Rhinolophus ferrumequinum: one gene and its partners. The protein of the gene in region 1 interacts with the protein of each later gene in a pairwise test. Links are inferred from orthologs where the notes say so. Each region holds a gene or a part of one and is shown in the gene's direction. Other genes may lie near its edges.

What was found. The genes of interacting proteins can lie anywhere in the genome.
Region 2: the proteins of HTT (region 1) and MRFAP1 interact in binary tests that used the Homo sapiens proteins (3 or more experiments, as listed by UniProt). The link is inferred for Rhinolophus ferrumequinum from reciprocal best matches to the Homo sapiens genes HTT and MRFAP1.
Region 3: the proteins of HTT (region 1) and GPRASP2 interact in binary tests that used the Homo sapiens proteins (3 or more experiments, as listed by UniProt). The link is inferred for Rhinolophus ferrumequinum from reciprocal best matches to the Homo sapiens genes HTT and GPRASP2.

Annotation. Positions count from the first base shown.
Region 1 is NC_046288.1:86,319,480-86,326,644, reverse strand, and holds the start of HTT (huntingtin), read left to right. Parts: upstream 1-4,145; coding exon 4,146-4,348; intron 4,349-7,165.
Region 2 is NC_046288.1:84,322,969-84,330,224, forward strand, and holds MRFAP1 (MORF4 family-associated protein 1), read left to right. Parts: upstream 1-4,530; 5' UTR 4,531-4,656; exon of another isoform or gene 4,657-4,775; 5' UTR 4,776-4,813; coding exon 4,814-5,197; 3' UTR 5,198-5,214; intron 5,215-5,739; 3' UTR 5,740-6,751; downstream 6,752-7,256.
Region 3 is NC_046284.1:52,045,957-52,053,562, reverse strand, and holds the start of GPRASP2 (G-protein coupled receptor-associated sorting protein 2), read left to right. Parts: upstream 1-4,601; 5' UTR 4,602-4,741; intron 4,742-5,079; 5' UTR 5,080-5,165; intron 5,166-5,719; 5' UTR 5,720-5,787; intron 5,788-5,872; 5' UTR 5,873-5,933; intron 5,934-6,134; 5' UTR 6,135-6,194; intron 6,195-6,500; 5' UTR 6,501-6,805; coding exon 6,806-7,606. UniProt on the Homo sapiens protein: May play a role in regulation of a variety of G-protein coupled receptors.

The DNA of each region.
Region 1 (7,165 bases):
CAAGAATGAGAGGCAGGAGAGAGGTGTTCACATCTTTAACCTGCTGACGGGTCATCTGCCAACCTTGAGTTCTAGACCCAACCCCAGATCCATTAAGAATGAATGTAAAATAATGACATTTTCAGACAAACTGAAACAGACATTTTGGCAATAGAAGATCCACTGTAAGAGAAAGTCTAAAGGGTGTCTTCTGGGCAGAAGAAAATGATCCCAGATGGAAGATCAGACGTGCAGGCAGGAATGCAGAGGAGTAAAAATGGCAAATGTGGGAGTCATTTAAGTAAATATTGACTGTTCAAAGCAACAATCATGTCTGTGTCTTTTACAATGTGTGCATGTCTTGATGTAGAAATAAATACACGGCAAGAATACCCTCTAAATTGGGAGGGACCCCCAGGGAGACGGGTGGGGGAACCACCACCCTGTCCCCAGGAGCTGCCGGTCCACTCATCTTGTCCCTCTTGGCTCTCCTTCACGTTTCCTTCTTTCTTGGGCCCAGGCCTTGCCCTGCACAGACCCCCCCTCACCTGGTCTTGGGTTCAGGGTGCGTGCCAGCCCCCCAGCTGGAGGGCACGCCACCTGTCATGGCTGCTTTAAATATCTGCCTTTTCTCCTGGGCAGCATGCGTCCCACGTGTGTTGCTAGGCTTTCATTTTCAGTTCTCCACCCAAACCTATGCTTTTATGTGTTTTTCCCCTGAATATACACATTTACTGCTGAAAAGCTGAAAACTACAGACAAGCACACAAGATATAAGAACCCTGCACAGAGAGTCAGTATTACGAATTTGGTGAGCAGCTCTCATCTATGTATGTGTGTACTGTTTTTCTTTAAGAAAGAGAAGATCATGCCATATGTAGTAGTATAATCTGCTAAAGCATGGTAAACCTTTTCTTGGGTCACAAGTGCTCTTCTAAAATAGGATTTGAATGGCTGTCCAGTTTTCTGTCACAGATTTATCTGGATTCATATCGCCAATCTCCTCCTGCCCAGCATTTATGTTTCCAGTTTTTTGGTCCTAAATGTTGCTGTAAGTAGTGACCATTCTCACACACACGATTGTTTTCCTAGAATAACGCACTGGAAGTGTCTGCTATTCAGGGACTGTGCCCAGTTTTAAGTCTGTGGAGACCCGGTGCCAAGTTGTCCACCTAGCATAGTTTATCTGCTTTGGACTGTGCCAAGCTTTTCTCTGAACTTAAAAAAATCTGCTTCTTGACAGTCCCTTTCTATAAGATTTCTTCTCAGGATTACAATAAGTTCCAGGCAGATGATTCTTTCTGCTGTGGCAGAAGAAGCCATGTCGGTGGCCATATAAGGCTTTGGTGACCCATAATCTATCTGGACTGGTCAGAAGGTGGTTTAGGAGCATATAAACGGGACAATCCCACGTAACAGTGGCTTATACAAAATAGACTTACATTTCACTCTCACAGATTTTCATGAGGTGGGCAGGCTGGCTGGCGTCCCCACCCCGTCCTCTGGGCCCTGGCTCCTTCCAGCTCCACCATCCCAGGATGTGGCTTTTCAGCCTCATGAGCCAGAATGACTGCTTAAGCACCACCCAACACAGCCGCATTCCAGGCAGCAGGAAGAACAGGTGAACCCCTTCTTAGGACACATCTGCTTCCATCTCGTTGGCTAGAACTCATTTAATCATGTGGCTACAGCCAGCTCAAAGGTGGGAAATGGAGCATTTTAACTAAGTGGAAAAGTGCCCAGATAAGAACTGAGGTCCTGTTACTGAAGAAGGCGGCCAGAGTGGCTATCAGGCGGCGACACTACTACTTGTTACGGGTTCCAATATGTCCCCTCAACCTTCATGTTGAGTGCTCACCCCTAGCACTTCAGAATGTGATTGTATTTGGACAGAGGCCCTTTAATGAGGTCGTTAGTGTGGTCTAACCCCGTATGACTGCTGTCCTTATAAGAAGAAGGGATTAGGACACAAACAGGAAGAGCATGTGAAGACACAGGGAGGGAGACGGCCACGTAGAAGCCTAGGAGAGCGGCCTCAGGAGAAACTGCCCTGCCCACACCTTGATCTTGGGGACTTCCAGCCTCCAGGGCCGGGAGAAGATGAGTTTCTGCTGTTGAGCCTGCAGTGTGTGGTACCTTGTTATAGCAGCCCTAGCAAACTAATACACTTACCTGTTGCTGTGTGACCAATCACTGTGGCTTAACTACCCACAGAATCTCACAGGGGCCGTGGGGCAGGCATCTGCCACAGCCTAGCTGGGTCCTTCCCTTCCCAGTCTCCCAAAAGCCTACGATCAAGGACCAGTTGCCTCCACTTGAAAGCTCTACCGGGCAAGACCGGCTCCTAAGCTCATGTGTTGGCAGGATTCAGCTCTTTGTGGGCTGTCGGTTTGAAAGCCTCCGTTTCTCACTGACTTGGCTAGTGGCAGCCTCCAACATGGCAGCGTGCTTCGTGCCCACGTGTAAGCCAAGTGACGGGACCAGGGCGGGCAAGACTGAAGCCTCATCTTTTGTAAGCTAATCCAGGAGGGCCATCTTTCCTTTTGTTGGGTAGAAGGAAGCCGCCAGGGGACAGCCCACACTCTGGGAGGGCACTATGAAGGGCGTGAACACCAGGAGGGGGCCACTGGGCTGTCTTAGAACTTGGCTACCAGCACCTGACAGCTCTCGGCCAACACCATCTGGCCTGTCCAGCCTGCGGTTCGGTAAGTGGCCTGGCACACGGACAAGGTCCTTTATTAACAAACATCACGGAACTGGGACCTCAAGGGTGGTGCATGTGGTGTTCCCCTGAAGGAGAGCTGTTGCTGTGCCCTTGGGGACAATACTGCCCGTGGTGGTGGTGGGTTTCCTGTTCCCTGACCATTTGGGACAACGGACGCTCTGACAGAGGGTGGAGATGTGGCTGGTGGCACAGATAGGGCACTGCTCCGAGTGGGCTCCTGCTGCATGCATTGCCTCCCCCAGGCGGCCCTCTCGGAGGCCAGCGCAGTCCCTGCCCGCCCCCCCCCCCAGTTGCTCACCTGCCTCCCCTTGAGGTGGTGAGGCCCTGGAGCACCGACCCTTCCGTGCAGCCTGCTGCGGCCCAGGCAGAGGTGCCCACAGACCTGTGGGACAGGGGTCCTCTTCGCTGGAGGGCAGTCATTCCTGCGGTGGGGAGGACTGCTTCCCGCTGCACAGCCATCGTCTCTGTGGGCAGCAGACACTGACCTGACCGTGCTAAGCCTCTTCTCCCCTGCCCTCAGGCTGCAGACTCTGGGAGGCGCCTGCCGGCTGGCTGCCGACCCCCAGGGGTTCCCTCTCCTCTCTGGGGGCCACACCCAGGCTCTCCTCCCGCCGAGACCATTCCTGCAGGTCTCCGCCGACCTACCCGACCCCAGCTCTGCGAAGGACGCACTCACTTCTCCGTGCTCCTCACAGAAAGAGCCCCGACTACTCACGTCAGAGCAGTCCGGCGACCCGCCCCTCAGTCCCGGCCACGGGTGGGCAGGGGCGCCCCCTGGTGTCTCTCGCCCAAGCCCAGGCGGAGCTCCTGCCAGGATGAGCGGGGCGTGACCGGTATCCCCTCCCCTTCCCGCCACTCAATGCCGTGCCCCGCCCCCCACCGCCACGTCCCGCCCTCATAGCGCCCCGCCCCGCCTCCCACCTCCGTGCCCCGCCCCTCACGGCCAGGTCCTGTCCTCAGCACTGTACCCCGCCCATCACCGCCACGCCACGCCCCTCATCGCCACACACCGCGTGCCGCCCCAGTCCCGCCCTCTGTAGTGACTCGCCCCTCAGCGCCAGGTCCCGCCCACACTGCCGCGCCCCGCCCCTCCGTGTACCGCGCCCTCGCAGGGGAGGGGCGCGATTATCTCAGTGGCTGCGTCAGCTCTGGGAGGTGATCTAGTGGGCTCGAGGGAGGGCGGGCTAGCACTTCGTTTGGTCATTGGCAGAGGCCGCCGCCTGGGCTGTCAATCCCGGCGGCCCGGTCTGGCCCCGCCCCGCAGGCGGAACGCCGCAGGACGCAGGGCCGCGGGGGCTGCTGGGAAGGGTTCAAGATGGCCGGGCGTTTCGGTTCTTCTACAGCCTGCGGCCCCGAACCCCATTCATTGCCGCGCTGCTGAGCGGCGCCGCGAGCCGGCCCTTGGGCTTCGGGGGCGGTCTCCGCGGAGCGGGTTGCCGCCATGGCGACCCTGGAAAAGCTGATGAAGGCCTTTGAGTCCCTCAAGTCCTTCCAGCAGCAGCAGCAGCAGCCCCCGCCGCCGCCGCCGCCTCAGCCTCCTCAGCCGCCGCCGCAGGCTCACCCGCCGCCGCCGCCTCAGCCTCAGCCACCTCCTCCCACACTGCCGCCCGGCCCGGCCGTGGCCGAGGAGCCGCTGCACCGACCGTGAGTGCGGGCCCGCTGCATCTCCCCCTGCACCCCGGGCCCCGCGGCGACGGGGCCACCCCGCGCACGGCTCCACTGCCTTGCCTGCCGCGGCATCTCGTCCCGGCATCTCGCGTGGGCCTCAGTGCCTTCGCGCGTGCAGGCACAGCCTCTCCAGAAGGCGCCGAGGCGGCCACGGTTGTTTTTCAGCGTGCCAAGTTAGGGGGGAACTTACTGCTCTGTATTGCAAAGGGCCGGGCTGCGTGGGTAGCAGAACTTGGCGGCGCCCTGAGCGCGTCGCATCTGGCTCCCCCGGGCCACTTCCGCTCCCTCTCCTAGTCTGAGAGGGAGCAGGGCTGGGGGCGCAGGGCGCTGCGCGGGGAGCTGGGAGCTGGAGCGCTGTGGGCACAGTGCATGACGTCATGCCCTAGACTGGGAGGGCGGGCCAGTGCGGCGCCGTCTGTGGGAGATTCTTTTTGCCAGGGGCCCTTGAGACAGCTTGTGTGACTTAAGGCTGTACTGCCACATTCTCGAGACATTCCCCTTAGTCCGGGAATCGCAGTGGTAATCACAGGATTTTAAGCATCAGTAAGAGGCCTGCTTGTCCAAGCTCAAGTTTGGTCTGCACGCATTTGACCGAGTTGTGGTTGCCAAGTAAGTGGTGACCATACGTAGATGGTTATGATTGCTAACGAGTGAGAAGTAATAGAATTGACTTAAGTATTAAGAGTTGACTGAAGTTTACGGCCTGTTTTCACTTGGAAATAAAAACGACACACTGCTGAGGGAGAGAAGTTCATCGTGGGGCGCGGTGACTGATGTGCGTTTTACTGGTGGTGTCGTCCAGCCTGCTGGACAGAGCGTGGGTGTCAGCGCACCCCACGGACGTCTCCTGTTCCCTTCATTGCCGGCATCCTGATACTGCTTTCATAATAGGGATCTCTGTTGCTTGTGCCCGGGACAGTTTTTGAAACAGGAAAAGGGAGACCACTAATGGCACCCTCTAACAGAACCCAAGTATTGTTCCCTGAAGTCTTCCTGTGCTGTGTGTTGAGCAGAGTTTAGGGGGTGCTTTGCTGCAGTTCAGGCCTGTCTCAGCTCGGGGCATTAGACTTCTGATCTGAAGATGTGTAAGATGGTATTTAATGGGGACACTTTCCAAGAAGCAGCCCCTTTAAGGAGCTTGCTCTTTTAAGGCTGATTCACTCTTAGTAATGTTTTCTTGTTCTTTATGTTTCTGACATAATTCTTGCTGTGTCCTAATAGTTTAATTGGAAAATGAGGACTTGGGGAGTAATGGTGGCTTATCTGTTAGAATAAAATTTAGAAGAAATAAATTATTTTTCCTTCTAAGATGTGAAAAACCTGTTTGCATATTTAGAGAGAAAAAATTTTTTTTAAACAATTTGACTTTATCTCTAGAGCAAGTAATTTGTAATCATAACCCATTCGAGACTTATTGTATGTAATGTCTCTCCAGGAAGTGAATGTCACAGACGTTTCCACGTGTGTAAACAAGGGAAACACTAAGGGGGTCTCTGCAAGGTTTACTGCCACCTGGTGACTCCTCCACTCCGTCAATCTAAAAACCTGCCTCTGTTTCTTATGCTGACTTGTCAGAACCTGAATTTGCTTATCTTCAAAATATGGGTATACAGAGGTTTCCTTGTAAAGCCGACTTGACAAAAGTAGATTTTGTTTCATTACTTTCAGGAAAGTATGATTGACTTATTTGAATAATTTTATCTATTATTTTTGCATAAGTAATACATTCCAAAAGGTAAAAATTAAAATTCTCTCTCCCACTCCTTTCTCCTGAGGGCCTAATTCCGTCCCCGGAGGCAAGCACGGTTTTACTTCCTTCTTGTGAATCCTTCCAGATATAATCTATGCATATATGAAGATAGATTTTAAATTACTTAAAAGCAAAAGTATTTCAGAAGAGTAGCTTTGAAAGGTTCTTAGCATGCTCTGAAGTCAGTTGCTTTAGGCTTGATTATAGTTTTTTTTTTTTTGAACAGGACTTTATTGGGGAACAGTGTGTACTTCCAGGACTTTTTTTTTTTTTTTTCCCCACGTCAAGTTGTTGTCCTTTCAGTCTTAGTTGTGGAGGGTACAGCTCAGCTCCAGGTCCAGTTGCCATTGCTAGTTGCAGGGGCCGCAGCCCACCATCCCTTGCAGGAGTCGAACCGGCAAACTTGTGGTTGAGAGGACGCGCTCCAACCAACTGAGCCATCCGGGAGCTCTGCAGCAGCTCAGCTCAAGGTGCCCTGTTCAATCTTAGTTGCAGGGGGCGCTGCCTACCATCCCTTGCGGGATTGGAGGAATTGAACTGGCAACCTTGTGGTTGAGAGTCCACTGGCCCATGTGGGAATTGAACCAGCAGCCTTCGGAGTTAGGAGCATGGAGCTCTAACCGCCTGAGCTACTGGTCCGGCCCTTGATTATAGTTATTTTAAATAAAATGCATAAATATATTTTATGTACTTTGCTATTGAGAAAGCAGGTATTCGTAAATTTTGAGTAAACAACTCACTGCTTACAATTTGAATCTTGGCATTCAGATGCTTCAGCTGAAAAATCCATTCCCCACAGTAAGTTTGGCCAAAAGCAATTGAGAAAGTACCTGTTCTATTTTTATGGCTCTTGCTGTCTGTGGTGTGGAACTTTAGTGTCACAGCCATGGGTGGGCTTCAGCTGAAGTATCTGAGTGCCTGTTCTCTGACTCAGCATATAGGATGCAGGGGTCCTGGGTGGGCCTGCCGTGCAGGGAGTGCCAAAGCGTGGGAGAGTCCTCGACTGCAATTATGAAGCAGTTGACATTTGCCTTTGGCACTTT
Region 2 (7,256 bases), about 2.0 Mb from region 1:
CCAGAGGTATTCACACTGGCTTTGGGCACAGTTCACACCTTCAAGCCCTGTTGTACTGTGATTTCCGCATTTAGCAAAATAAACAATGACAGCATAGTTACTGTAAAGATGAAGAAACAAAACCTCACGTACTTTCATCCTGCCATTCTATGTGACCATTTGGACTTTCAATTTATGTTTATAATTTAAAACACAGTGAGATATTTTTGTTTGGTAAGTGCAAATTTTAGCTAGTGCACTACATATTTAATTTGAATATCTTTGAAATGTATTCATAATTGCTAATTGCTTTAAAACTAATGAACTAATCAAGAAAATAACAGGTTATATTAGTGGTATCATTTACTAGTTGCATAAATGGCACCTTTTGCAGTGTTTTCAGCTTTGTTAAAATTTACTTACTATTGGACACTTAGTTGTATAAAATATTATTAAATCAGGCTAATCTGAAAAGATAAACTCACTCTTGTGGTTTGCCTTTACTCTCACGCTCTCACGCTACTACTCACACTATACCTCATTCACTTTTGACACGTGTGTGTTTTTACTGCATCAAACATTTCTCCACGACACCAGCTGGTGGCCATGGTTCACTCAATTTTGACACTATCTACCTCGAATTAGCATTAGACCCCACAAGTGTAGGAGTCATTTCCATAAGACTGCCCCCACTTCAGACACCAATTGAAAGTCCCAGGTTGTCACCCGAACTTCTGACGACTGGCTATAAATCAGAGTTCCCATGACACCCTCCTCGTCATTCACTAGAATGCCTCACAAACTCAGGGAAACACTGATGTTTCCTGGTTTATTATAAAGGACATAATAAAGGCTCATAATAAAGAGAAACAAGGGCCCCGAGCCCAGGAGCTTCTGTCCCCGTGGAGTTGGGCGGGGGGGCCAACCCTCCCAATGTGTAGTGGGTTCACCAACCCAGAAGCTCTCCGAACTCCATACTACTGGGATTTTTATGAAAGCTTCATCACGTAGGTATAATCGATCATGAACTCCATTTCCAGCCCATCTCCCCTCTCTGCAGAATGCAGGGTGGAACTGAAAATTCCAAGCTTCTAATCATGGCTTGATCTTTCTGGTGACCAGCTCCATCCAAGAGCCAGCCAGAGTCACCTCATTAGAACAAAAGGCACTGCCATCACCCAGGCAATTCCAAGGGATTCAGGAGCCCTGTGTCAGGAACTGGGGCAGAGACCGCTACGTATATTTCATATTATTTCACAAATGACGAGAGCAAAGATGAAACAGTTAGGGAGCTATCAAAGCGACTGAACGCATAGTTGTGCTTGTTTGCCCTTTGGGAACTTGGAGGAACTTGAAGCCCTTTGTGTTGGGAAACCAGCAACTGGTCCATAATTATTCTGAATTTCATTAAGAAATGTGTGGGGGGGCACCCCTAAAGACACTGATCCCATGGAGCCCAACAAAGAAAAATTTTAAGCAAAAGAGGAGGCAATTGAAGCAATGGCTGGATCTGTATTGAAATATGAAATGCCTGTGATACCACGTAGAGTTTTATGTCACATTTATTACTTCAAATCATTTGTCATAGAGAGGAGAGGTATTGAAAAATGACCCCCTCTGGGTGTCAAATATGCCAGATACTTTATCAAGAGGGGGAAGAAAAGGAGTGAGCCTCCATCCCATTTGCTTCATTCGCCCAACCCTGCTGGGTTTCCACTTAAAAGGGGGTCAGGCTGGACTTGCTGGTCTCCAGGGCCTCACACTGCCAACACCTTAGGGTTCCTGAGTGCCCTCCCCTTCCATGCCCTGGAAGGGGAGAAGTCCCAGTATCCTAAAAGTCCTGCTGTCCTTGTGACTTCTCAGCCTAGCAGTGAGATGGGATGCAAGAGCTGCGAAGGGAGCCTGGACGGAAGCGCTACACTTCGGGAGGCATGGTGGATAAGACATTCTAAAATCCTCTTCTTTCCACTCCCACAGGCGGCATACAGTAGATCACAACAAACTTTCCTTTAAACACACTGCTGAGCGTGCAGAATGCAAGAGAAATCCTCAAAGGCGTTCAGGAGGGAACTGAATACTAAAACCAGATACGTGAGCAAACGTCAAATCAGAGCTACCAATAGCAGAAACACAGGGATAGGAGACGAGGTCCTGGAGGGGTTGAACCAAATCTGACTTTAAAAACCTCCCAGCCTGGACTGGCCCCATGGCTCAGGTGGTTGGAGCCCCGAGCTCCTAACGCTGAAGACTGCCGGTTCGATTCCCACATGGGCCAGTGAGCTGCACCCTCTACAGCTAAGACTGTGAACAACAACAGCGTGAGCTACTGTGTGTCATCAGGAGCCCATAGCGACTGGCCGGCTGACTGGGGAGCGCAAGGCTCATAATACCAGCATGGGCCAGGGAGCTTGTCCTATACAACTAGACAACAGCTTGAACTGGAGTGGGGGTTGGGGGAGGCGGAAGAAAGGGGGAAAACAAAAAAACTAAGAAACCTTCCAACCAGTGCAAAGGTACCAAAAGGAATCCAGGTGGTGTATTCTGGATGTAGGTGGAAAAACTAATACAAATATAAATACAAATTTGAAAACAGAATTCTGCAGATCTGTAATTATGAAATTGCTCTCAACCAAGATCAACCACAAATCCCCACTGGAGAAGCTTTCTCAGCCAAGCTTGTTACGATTCCCCAGAATTAAAGCCAAATATTACACACACGGAAACAAAGCACCACATAAGAGTCAGTCAAACAAAAAGTAACAGATACGGGAATTATCAAATGTAGAATATAAAATGGCTCTTTATGAAATATGAAAAAAAACCACAAGAAACAGAAGACTACCAAAATTAGCCAAAATTAGCCAGGCAATGAAAGGTAGGAACGTTCCTGGCCTCTCCTCACTACCTACATGCCAGTAGCAGCCCTCCCTCCCTCGTCCCTCCCTCTCAAGTTGTAACAGTTAAAAATGTCTCCAGTTAAAAATGCCATATATACCCTAGAGGACAAAATCACTACAGTCGAAAACATTCTGTTCTAGAGGAAGGTACAGGATCAGATACTATATAAGAAAGTTAGATAATGAGTGTCGTGTGGGGGATCCTGCCGACTACGCCAAGCGTCATGCAGGACGGCGTGCAGGGTCCCCGGTCCCACTCCCCACACAAGAACGCAGGACATGGTGAGGCCAAAAAGGAACACCCACAGAGCCATAGGTAGGGGAGTCATACCACTGTACTGTCACTGGCAGCTGGGTTGGAGGCTCAGGAAGCAGGAGCCACACAATTCTCAACCCTCACTGCGCCGCTTGCAGGCTCAGCCACCATCTCCTTGCTAGCCCCCATTTGCTGCTAGCATAGCCACGGCAGTTATATTAGTGGCCAACGGCTCACTGGTTACAGCTGACGGCCAACTAGCCACAGCTGATGGCCATTTGATTGCAGTCGACAGCCATTTACTACCTGAGCCAGCACCTTTCTATGTGAGGCCGAGAGCCTGGAAACTGCTTTTTGGGGCTCTGTCCCCACAATGAGCAAGCAGCAAAATTACACTAAAACTGTGAAACAGTAGGGGGTTTTGTCAAATCTAAGAAACCATCAATTTTAAGGTTTACCATTATTTTGGGTAATGTTCAGAGTGAGAATACACTACAACGTTTAAGTGTGAATCGGTGTTCTATATCACAGCAACTGAAAAACGCAGAGAATTTCAATGTGAGAAGAGGTTCACTGAGAATTTCGTGACTTTTGTTTCTCTTCGTTCTTAACTCTGCCATCTTCGAAAGTAGGACTTGTGTCCCTTTGACTGGAAAACAGAAACCAACCCTATGGCACTTGCGCACGCTGGATTCTTGAAATTTTTCTTGCTGTTTTGTGACCGGGTCAACAGACTAGGCTAGGAAATGAACTTATCTGTCCTTAATTAAAAGTTTGTGTTGCGTGAATGCTAAAGCAAATTTACCGATCTGTGCCAAGCTCTGCTCAGGGCTTTACAGACAGTTACAATAAGACACCCCCCACCCCACGGCCACAAACACACACGGAGCCCTGATTTTGGTAAAAGGTGGGAAGGATAGTCAACAACCCCGTTTTCAACGGAGCTTTGGGGTCCGCTGGGGGCTCAGGATGAACGAGACCAGGTCTTTAACCCTGGAGTGGGGGCGGGGGGCTTGGCCCGGTGAAAAGACACTCACTTCTGACTGCAATCCGAACAAGAACGATTACACGGCTGCAAGAACGACAATCTCACGGCTGAGAGGGGTCTGCTGGCCGTACGAGGGAACGGGGCTGTGAGGCTTAGCCCGGGGACGTCACAGCCTTTGAGTACATTATTACGTAGCACCTTCCTCGTTTCGTGTAAGAAGATCGCGTTTACATCTTAAAAATATGTAAATTCCGCGCTCGAGAAGCCCTGTATGAGAAAGGTGCACCAAAACACGTCACCCCAAAGCCAGGGACGCAGCGAGCAGAAGGCGGGCGCCTTACGTACTCGGGCTCGGGCTCGTGCGCGCGCGCGGGCGCGGGGACGCCGGCGGCGTCTCCATGTACGTGCACGCGCCCGCACCTCGTCCTGCCGGCGGCGTGACCGTAAAGGGGCACAGCCGTGTCGTGAAAGGGGCCGCAACAGGCAGGGGGCTGGTTGACGGCTCGGACTCCATTTTGTTTGCCTCTTCTCTGCTCGTAAGTTGCCTCTCTCCGTGGTTTTTCTGAGGCGAAAAGTTTAAAAAAGGGTAAAAGTTTTAAGGATTATTCTGGAGCGCTGTTAATAAGCATAGGGAGTCTCCATTTTGTCTCTGCAGCAGACGTCGGTACTGCGGTTCCCGAGTAGCGGCGGAAAATGCGGCCCTTGGACATCGTCGAGCTGGCGGAACCGGAGGAAGTGGAAGTGCTGGAGCCCGAGGAGGATTTCGAGCAGTTTCTGCTCCCAGTCATCCACGAGATGCGGGAGGACATCGCGGCTCTGACCCGGGAGCACGGGCGAGCGTACATGCGGAACAGGAGCAAGTTGTGGGAGATGGACAATATGCTCATCCAGATCAAAACGCAGGTGGAGGCCTCGGAGGAGAGCGCCCTGAATCATCTGCAGAACCCGGACGACGAAGGGGAGGGCAGAGGGACCAAACGGTGCGAGAAGGCCGAGGAGAAGGCCAAGGAGATCGCCAAGATGACAGAGATGCTGGTGGAGCTGGTGCGGCGGATAGAGAGGAGCGAATCGTCCTGAGCGCGCGCGGGCCGCCGGTAAGGCCGGCGGGAGCCGGGGGGACGTCCTGCTGGGTGCCCTGCACTTGCTTTATCCGAGGGGACCGGTGTGATGGTGACGGTCCACGTGAGATGGACGTCGGGGCGGACGAGAGGAGAAAGGCAGGCCCAGTCTTGACTTGAACAGGGGTTAGCAGATACCGTTTGTTTGTTTGTTTACGCTGGTAATTAGGAAAAAATAGGCCTGTGTCGGGCATAGTATGTGTTTGGTTAAAACCTACGGTCTCGGGCCCTGGGAGTAATTGTAGTGTGGTAAAGCTGAAAGTCGCTAAAAGAACAAAATCATAGCAGGTGCCGTTGAGCAAGGGGGCATAGAGACAGAGAGTTTTCAGAGGGAGACAGAGAGTTTTCAATTCCAGACCTTGCCAGAAGACGGGAGTGAGTCAGATGGCATCCAGAAAAGGTGACGTCCTGCGTGGGTGGTTACATTTGTGAGGGTCTTGGGCTCCCTTCCCCCCCCAGGATTAACCCCTTAACGATGAGTTTCTCGCAATTGCACCTTAGGTTTGCAGCCAATGGATTCTGGTCCACTGATGGAGATTGGCTGACACCCTGGAGAAGCTGAAACCAGAGAGCCTTTTGTTTTCTCTCTTTTTTTCCTCTGTCTGTATTCTGTCCTCATTTACACTACGTTTCTGCTGTGGTCTGTGGTTGATGACCTCAATGTGAGTTTTGACTGTTAAATGTTTTTGTTTGGGGAAGTCACTTTTATTTGGGAAATTCTCTGACGTGCAACAATTAGGGCCTAGATTGTAAGCTCTTACAGCAGTCACATTTGTTCCTGGGCTTCGGTTATTTCTAAATTTTGAGGTGTTTTGCTCTTTCTTGTGTGATCTGATAGCTCCCTGGAACTTTGGGTCTATGTGTGACACACGAGACTCGGAGTTGGAGTTCTCCAGCTCTGGAGGCGCTGAAGGAGCTGCTTTACTTCTAGAAGATGACTCCTGCTAAAGAAGCTGAAGAAGGGACCAGACTTCATCCGGGAATGTGAATGGAGCTGATCTGGCTAGGACTGGTGCATCAAAAGAAGGGGTGGAAAGTGGTATTGTCTGTATTTTGGGACTTGAATTTCTGTGTGAGACCAAAGGAGGAGAGGTGTATTTTGTTCAAAATTGAATTTTATGTGGCACACTATCTGATGTAACGTGTCTGGTCAGTTTGTTTGGACAACCTAACTCAGCTTTATTTGACATGGAACCTGGAATAGGGGATGAGATCTTGGTATTCTGCACAAGTTGACATAATACTCGGATGCATTTCAGGGGATTCTGGGCATAAAATGAAAGAAACATTTGCAAAAGCCCTTGCGGGGCTGGGGAAGGAAAGCAAGGACTGCCTGCATTGGACCCGAAAGTGGACAGGGACTAGGTGTCTTCAAGGTTCATAAGTTGTCCAGCTATAAGTTCATTTGAGTAGCAGACCTGACAAATATTTGAGGTCAAAACCCTACCGTGTGTTTAAAAAAAATTACCGTGTTAATAAAAGTATTCATTTGCTTGAAAAGACAAAAGACCTAAAAAGTTATTGACTAAGAAATTTTATTTCTTTTAGAATGAAAATTTTCTCCTTGACTGTTGTCATTGTCAAATGGAGGGTGAATCTTTTAGTTTTTGAGGCTCTCAAGTAGGTCTCTTATCGGGAAAGATTGCGGGCTGCTCTGCTCTGGGCACTGGAATGAGTCAGGTGGCGTCCAGAAAAGGTGAACACTCAGCTGTTAAGTATAGGGAGGAACCTCATATAATCCTGTGGGCCAGGACCCTGCCTTCTCAGCCAAAGTTCCTTCAGTCTTTCCACCTAGGAAATTGAAACATTCTACCCCACTACAGAAATGAAGGTCAAACGCCCCAGCTGCTGGAAGTACTGCTAACAGGTGGCTCTCAGCAGATCAGCTTTAAGTGCCTCTGCTTAAGAGACCGTCCTTAGCCAAGGTTAAGCCCTCTTTCCCAGGTGGCCCATATCCAGTGACATGGACGTGGGGTCTAAGGGACCTGTCCCTCTCACTGCAACTTGGGACAACTTTG
Region 3 (7,606 bases), on another chromosome or scaffold:
TCTTAACCAAGGATGTGAAAGACCTATATGCTGAAAACTATAAGACATTTTTAAAAGAAATAGAAGAAGACACAAAGAGATGGAAAGACATTCCGTGGTCATGAATTGGAAGAATCAACATAGTTAAAATGGCCGTATTACCCGAAGCAATATATAGATTTAATGCAATCCCCATCGAAACCCCAATGGCATTTTTTAAAGAAATAGAACAAAAAATCATCAGATTTGTTTGGAACCACAAAAGACCCCGAATAGCCAAAGCAATCTTAAGAAAAAAGAACAATGCTGGAGGTATCACACTCCCTGACTTTAGCTTGTACTACAGGGCAACAGTAATCAAAACAGCATGGTATTGGCAGGAAAACAGACACATAGATAGACCAATGGAATAGAATTGAGAATGCAGAAAAAAACCACATAAATATGGACAGAGAATTTTTGACAAGGAAGCTAAAAACATACAATAGAGGAAAGACAGCCTCTTCAATAAATGGTGCTGGGAGAATTGGAAAGCCACGTGCAAAAGAACGAAACTAGACTGCTATCTGTCACAATGTACCAAAACTAATTCAAAATGGATCAAATACTTAAGCATAAGTCTTGACACAATAAACTGCATAGAAGAAAACATAGGTACTAAACTTATGGACCTTTGGGTTCAAAGAGCATTTTATGAATTTGACTCCAAAGTCAAGGGAAGTAAAAGCTGAAACAAGTGAATGGGACTATATGAAACTTAAAAGCTTCTGCACAGCAAAGAAACCATCAACAAAATAAAGAGGCAACCAACTGAATGGGAGATTTTTTCAAACAGTGCCTCTGATAAGGGGCTAATATCCAAAATATACAAGGAGCTCATGAAACTCAACAACAAAAAAACAAACAACCCAATTGAAAAATGGGTAGACGACCTGAAGAGACATTTCTCCAAAGAGGACATACAAATGGCAAATAGACATATGAAGAAATGCTCAACATCACTAATCATCAGAGAAATGCAAATAAAAACCACAATGAGATATCACCTCACCCCAGTCAGAATGGCTATCATCAACAAGAAAAATAGTAACAAGTGTTGGAGAGGCCGTGGAGAAAAAGGAACCCTCATACACTGTTGGTGGGAATGCAAACTGGTGCAGCCGCTATGGAAGGCAGTGTGGAGGTTCCTCAAAAAATTACGAATAGAATTACCATATGACCCAGCAATCCCTCTACTGGGTATCTACCAAAAGAATCTGAAAACATTTATGCATAAAGACACGTGTGCTCCAGTGTTCATTGCAGCTTTATTTACGGTGGCCAAGATATGGAAACAATCAAAATGTCCTTCAATAGATGAATGGATAAAGAAGTTGTGGTATATATACACAATAGAATAGTATTCGGCGGTAAGAAAAGATGAAATAGGACCATTTGTGACAACATGGATGGACCTTGAGGTTATAATGCTAAGCGAAATAAGTCAGATTGAAAAAGCAGAGAACCATATGATTTCAGTGATATATGGTATATAAACCAAAAACAACAAAAGAACAAGACAAACAAATGAGAAACAAAAACTCATAGACACAGACAATAGTTTAGTGGTTATCAGTTGGTGAGGGCGGGGGTGGTGGATGAAGGTAAAGGGGATCAAATATATGGTGATAGAAGGAGAACTGAACCTGGGTGGTGAACACACAATGTGATTTATAGATGATGTAATACATAATTGTATACCTGAAATCTATGTAACTTTACTAAACTTTAATTAAAAAAAAAAAGATGCCGTGTGACCTTGGATAACTCCTGTAACTTCTAGCACCCTTGTTGTCATTTGTTAAATCATATATATATATATAAAATTACATAAATATATATATATATATATATATGTTTTTTGTCCCTTAGGTTTTATGAGGAGGAATAAGTTAATTTATGCAAAGTACTTGGCACAGTGCCCAGAATATTATAAAATTCATGGTATATAGCACTCAAATATTAGCTATTATTGTTATTTATAGAAATCTTTTAACATTTCCTAAGATGCCAGTCCTCATATGGTTTTTGGATACATCTTACTTTTTAAAACACTTTAGGGTCCTTTTCTTCCCTTGTTTTATTTCCTACCCAGTGTTGCCTATGGACTTCATATTGGTTAACAACAGTTGACTTTGGCATTAAAAAGAGGCGATTAATGAGGGTTGGAGGTTCGTAAAAGAGGTAAAGTGAACCGTAAAAGTTATTGCCTTTTTGTGGTTATTGATTATGATGTTTTCTCTTTATTATCTGGGAAAAACGCTTTTCTTGGATTTCCTAATTTACAATTTTATATGCTCTTGAAAAACTCAAAAGCAAACTTAAAGAAAAGTTGTACAGCATAATACTGAACATTTAGTAGATGCTGACAAAAAAAAAACCCTGTTGGTTTGATTGGCTGTTTTTATTTTCTGTATTAGAGTTAACTTTTTTAACCTTATTCAACTATACTGTTTCTCTACCTTCCAATTCAATAATCTGGCCTGATTTTTTCTTTTTGACTTGTTTCCATTTTGTTACCTTAAAATTCAGAGTTTAGCCAGTCTGGTATCTTGTTATCTTTCCTGTATGTTGGTAAACTTTGTACCCACAGAGATGCCTATTTAAAAAGCATCCAAGTTAATTTGGGTAACTGTATTTTTATATATTCTTTCCATTGTATTAATCCTACCAGTTCCCCAAGCCTCTGAAAAACCTACTTTTCTGAGCTGATGTTCTTTAATTTTTATACTTCTTTCCTGAAAGATGCTGTCTTCTGGTTTTCTATGACCAGTTTCCATCCACCTTTAGGTTTTTATTTTGTTCCTGCATTTCTCTTCCTAAGGAAGACCTGAACCAAGAAATACATTAATCGTATAGCATTCTTCCCTTTTTTTATATTAGGAAATTGTTCTTGGCATTCTCAAATCTCGGCACTTTAGATTTTTAAACTAAATCACGGTCTGAAACCACTCACTGTACCAAAATCAAAAAGACTCCAGTAGCATTTCATCTTTGATCTAGAGGTAAGGATGGATGACATGAATGATACCTCTTATATATTTTTTCTTTTAACCTAGTATCTGACCGCCCTTTCGTTTTTATTTTCTTATTTTTGATTAGGTAACATCCTGTGGTTCTAATTTTAAACGTTTAAAAGATCCTCTCCTTTTACTAACAATTGTCACCCCAATAAATTTAAAAAATAATTAAAAAAAAAGATTCTCTCCTTCCCACTCTTTTTCCCAGTCACCTTACTTCCCTAGAATCAACTTTAGTATCCTAAAGTTGTATCAGTTTTAGTATCCTTCCAGAGAAATTTTACACATAAAATTCTCACCTTTTTACACAAATGTTACCGTAACATATTTATTACTTTGTACCATTCTTTTTTATTTAGAAATATGCTTTTGTGATTTTACCATGTCAGTTCATGAAGATATTTCTAATTCCTAAAAAAAAATACAAAAACAAAAAAACAAACCCCACCAGGGCTGTCTTGGGGAAGTGTGTGCATGATGCAGCTTTCTCCAAGGAATGACTGGGCAAACTGGATAGGTGCTTACGGCAAGTGGCCGAGACCTAAAATGCTTCTAATCCCTGCCACATTTCCACAGTGCCAAAAATCATGAGAGCTTGGATGGGATTGTAAGACAAGACTTGATAGAACAGAGGAAGAGGAACCCGGAGCGACCCTATCTGATGCCTGACACTTACTTGGATGTGAGGCCACACACAGGGAGAATTCTATGACCCGGTGCGGGTCCAGACAGGGAAAGGCCCTCTTTCTAGGGCACTGTGGGGACCACAAAATGGCAACACGTGTTACTATTTCGAATGTGAAAAAAAGCAGTGTGGCAGCAAGGATGAATCTGGGTACAGAGCAGTGGATTCTCTCCTAGGGTTAGAGGTCTAGGTCTGCCTTTAGAAGAGGGGCAGTGGTGAGGCCTCCATGGCAGACCCCACCACTTCCTGTCCTCCCTGACCCCCCAAACAATGAAAGAACTTGGGGGGGCACCTCAGGACTTCAGGGTCGGTCTAGCTTTAGATGGCCTCTCCCCATCCGGGCAGCATTCTCACAGCCCCTCTCCCAGCAGCGTCCAGAAGTGAGACGGCAGGAGGGAGGTGGGTAGAACCCAGCACTCTGGGGGTTCATATACACCTAGGGGCGCTTTGTATCCACACGCAGCGAAGCTGCTCCTGACCTAGCGAACATGCTCCCCCACCCCCGCCCGCGCTGCCCGTAGATTGTAGAACCGGAAATGTTGTAGGGGGTACCCGGCAGGGGGCCGCGGAGGTCCTTAGAGCCCGATTGGCGGGCGTTAATTCGCCCCATGCGCTGGGGCTCTTCCCGGCCCCGCCCCCTCCGGGTCGGAACTGCGGGGCGTCTGGCAGGGGAGGGGTCGTCGAGCCCATTCGTCCGGTCTCCCTCCGCCCCGCTTTCCCTACACCCCCAGCCAGCGGTTCGTGCCGCATCCTGCGCACCCCCTGCCGTGTTTGGTGCAGCGGAGCGAAGGGCGGGACGCCTCTTTGCAATTTGATGCGCGCGCAAGGCGGTGGGACTCCGAGGAGGTCCGAGAGGAGGGGAGGCCGGCCACCCGGGCCCCGAGCCTGGAAAGGCAAGTGGGGGTGCATGGGGCGGGGTGGGTCCACACTCTCGACCAGCTTACACCCGCGCCCAGTCCCAGGCAGCCCAGCGAAGAGGCGGAGGCGGCTACAGGGTCGAAGCCGGTTCCTGAGAGAGGTGCGCAACGCCGGGGAGCCCTGCGCTGAGGTTGCGGCGGCGACGGGTGCGGGCCGGACCCAGGGTCCAGGGCCCAGGGGTGGCCTCAGATGCTCCCTGGGCTCCTGGGGGAAGCTATCCACGCCGGCCTCTCCACAGCCAGCTTTCCCGGAGATGGCTGTGGGGGAGGCTGGTGCGGGAGAAATGGTGGAGCCGGAGCAGAGATGGGGGCGCCGGGGCGGGGGCGTTGGCTATTCCGGGCCCTGATTCTGGAAAGGGTCTGTTGGGCCCCGCGTCCTGGGGGCTGTCCCTTCCCACAGGCGCCTCTTTGGTGCCAAAGTCTCCCGTCTGCGTGGTAGGTTGGCGATTTCAGGTGGCGGGGTGCATCTGCTGCGGAGCTGCTTGAGAAAAAGTTGGAGCAGGAAAATAGCCTGGATTTCTGGAGGTGTGTGGGGATGGGGGGTGGGCAGCCGCCATTGACTGGAGACACGAATTGGGGTTGGGTGACTATGACCAGAGCGGGTTAGGCATCCAGGAATAAATCCTAAAATTTCCCTCCGTACCAGTTCCTAGGCACTTCCCTTGGCTTCCTCCCTTACCTCCATCCCTAACTGGGGGTAGGAAAAGATGGGATCGGAGGCGAGGGTGAGACGGAAGTCACAGTTACAAGTACCACTGCACAACCTGTTTTCTATAATATGCAGGCTCCCTTCCCCCATTTTATGCTGCCCAAGGCAAAGGGATGTGGTGCACCTAGTGGTGAATCCTCAGAATTGGAATACGGCAGCAATGAGAAGACTGACGTCAAGAAAAGATGTCGTTATCTGGAACCCTGAAACAGAGGGCCTTAGTAAAACGAGAACGTTCTACCTAGAAGACCTTAAATGTTGAAAGACAGATCACATGTGGACTCCCATCATTGGTGTTGGTCTGTCCACCAAGTGCTCAGTTGTTACCATGGTCTTCTGACTGTCTTTCTTTTCATCCGTTTGTCCCTAGGCTTACTTTAAGACTGGTCACTTCTGCAAGGAAGGAAAGGAGGAAGAGACTGGCTCAATTCTCTGGAGGTTGGTGTGAAGGGGGAAATGCAGGGGATAGCGACAGAGTAAGATCATGGCAGGTCTTTGATTCACCTCTCCTGCTCTCTGCCAGATTTGCACACTGTCCCAGCATTCCTTGTCCATTTCCTGCAGGAGATATTACGAATATTGGGGTAGGTGCGAATTGGGCTGTGAATCGGAGGAGAAGACCTGAGATCAGGGACCAGGAGACAGGAAACGTTAGACAAATTGGACCCTTAAACAGAAAGAGAGATATTTGCATCAGGGGTCAGGGTGTCTGCCTGTCAACCAAACCCTCAGACTCCATTTTTTCCTGTGCGTTTGCTTGTCCATGGAACACCCTTCTGCTCTAGGGTGTAATTGGTACCCCTGGAATGAAGCACGGAGTGGGAAATTGCACCACATCAGAGAAGGTTGGTATGAGATGGGTAAACTTCGGGTCGGATAGTGGAGACCAGTGCAGTCACAACAGTAATTAGGGTCTAGTTTCAGGACTCCTCAACCTCTCTCATTGCCAACATACTTTCCCACAAATCTCACACCTGTTTGGTGGCAGGCCAAATAGTGTGGCAGTTGTGGGCAAAATGAATGTGACAGAGAGACTTTCTAATGGCCCAACAGCTCCACCAGGAATTCAAGGTCCAGTCTCTGTGTGAGTCTCTACATGGAGTGACACAGTTCCAAGAGGCTCAAGGCCCCATGTCCTTCTCTCTCCCTAGATCCACCTCCAGTGGCATCTCTGATGGTGCTGGAATTGCTGCTGACCACCACCCTCAACAGGTCTGCACCCACTTGGGAACCATCCATCCTCCCCCTGCTTGGTTGTGCCTCTTTGGCACTCTGTCTGTGATATTGGCTGAGGCTGGTCTTGGGAAGGAGGCTGGTTGGCTGCTGGACTGGTGATTGACTCTCTTCCAATTGTATCGCCTGAATCACTGGAAGATCAGTGTGAAGATACAGAATTGTGGTAGAGGCGGGGACTGTGTTACTGGTATTTAACTGCCTCTTCTCTGTAACTGGTATTATGACTGGGGCTGAGATTGAGCCTGGTGCCCAGGCCAAGGCTGAAAAGAAGGCTAGAGAAGAGGTTGCAGGTGGGGCTGAGAGAGAGAACGAAGTCCCGATGGTGGTCAGACCCAAGGTTAGGACCCAGGCCCAGGTAATGCCTGGGGCAAGGCCCAAAACTGCATCCAAGGCTATGAATGGGGCAACGCCTGAAACGGAGTCCCAGGTGATGGCTGGGTCAGGGCTCCAAACTGATTCCCAAGTAATGGCTGTGGCAAGGTCCAGAAGTGAAGCCCAGAGAATGTCTGGGGCAAGGCCAAAAACAGAGGCCAGGGCAGTAGGTAGGGCATGTTCTAAAACTGAGGCCAAGGCAATCACTGGGCCAAGGCACAAGGAAGAAGCCCAGGCTTGGGCCCAGACTGAGTTTGGGGCTCAGGCAATGTCCCAAACAGAGGGCATGCCCCAGACCAATGCAGAAGCCTGGCCACTGCTCAGTACTGAGTGTGGGTCAGGTGCTAAACCTATGTCCCTATCTGTAGATAGGGAACAGCTCAGGGTGGATGCTGAGATCTTTCCTGGTTCTCAGGGTCAGATGGGAATCCAACCCTGGTTTGGATCAGGGGAGGAAACTGATACTGGGTCTTGGTGCTATCCCAGGCCCAGGGCCAGAGCGGAGGGCTCTAATGAATCTGGATTCTGGTCAGCAGATGAGACCTCTACGATGTCTTCCTTCTGGGCTAGAGAAGAGGCCAGTATCAGATCGTGGCCCAGGGAAGAGTCCAATACCAGGTCCAGGCACAGGGCTAAATATCAGCCTAAC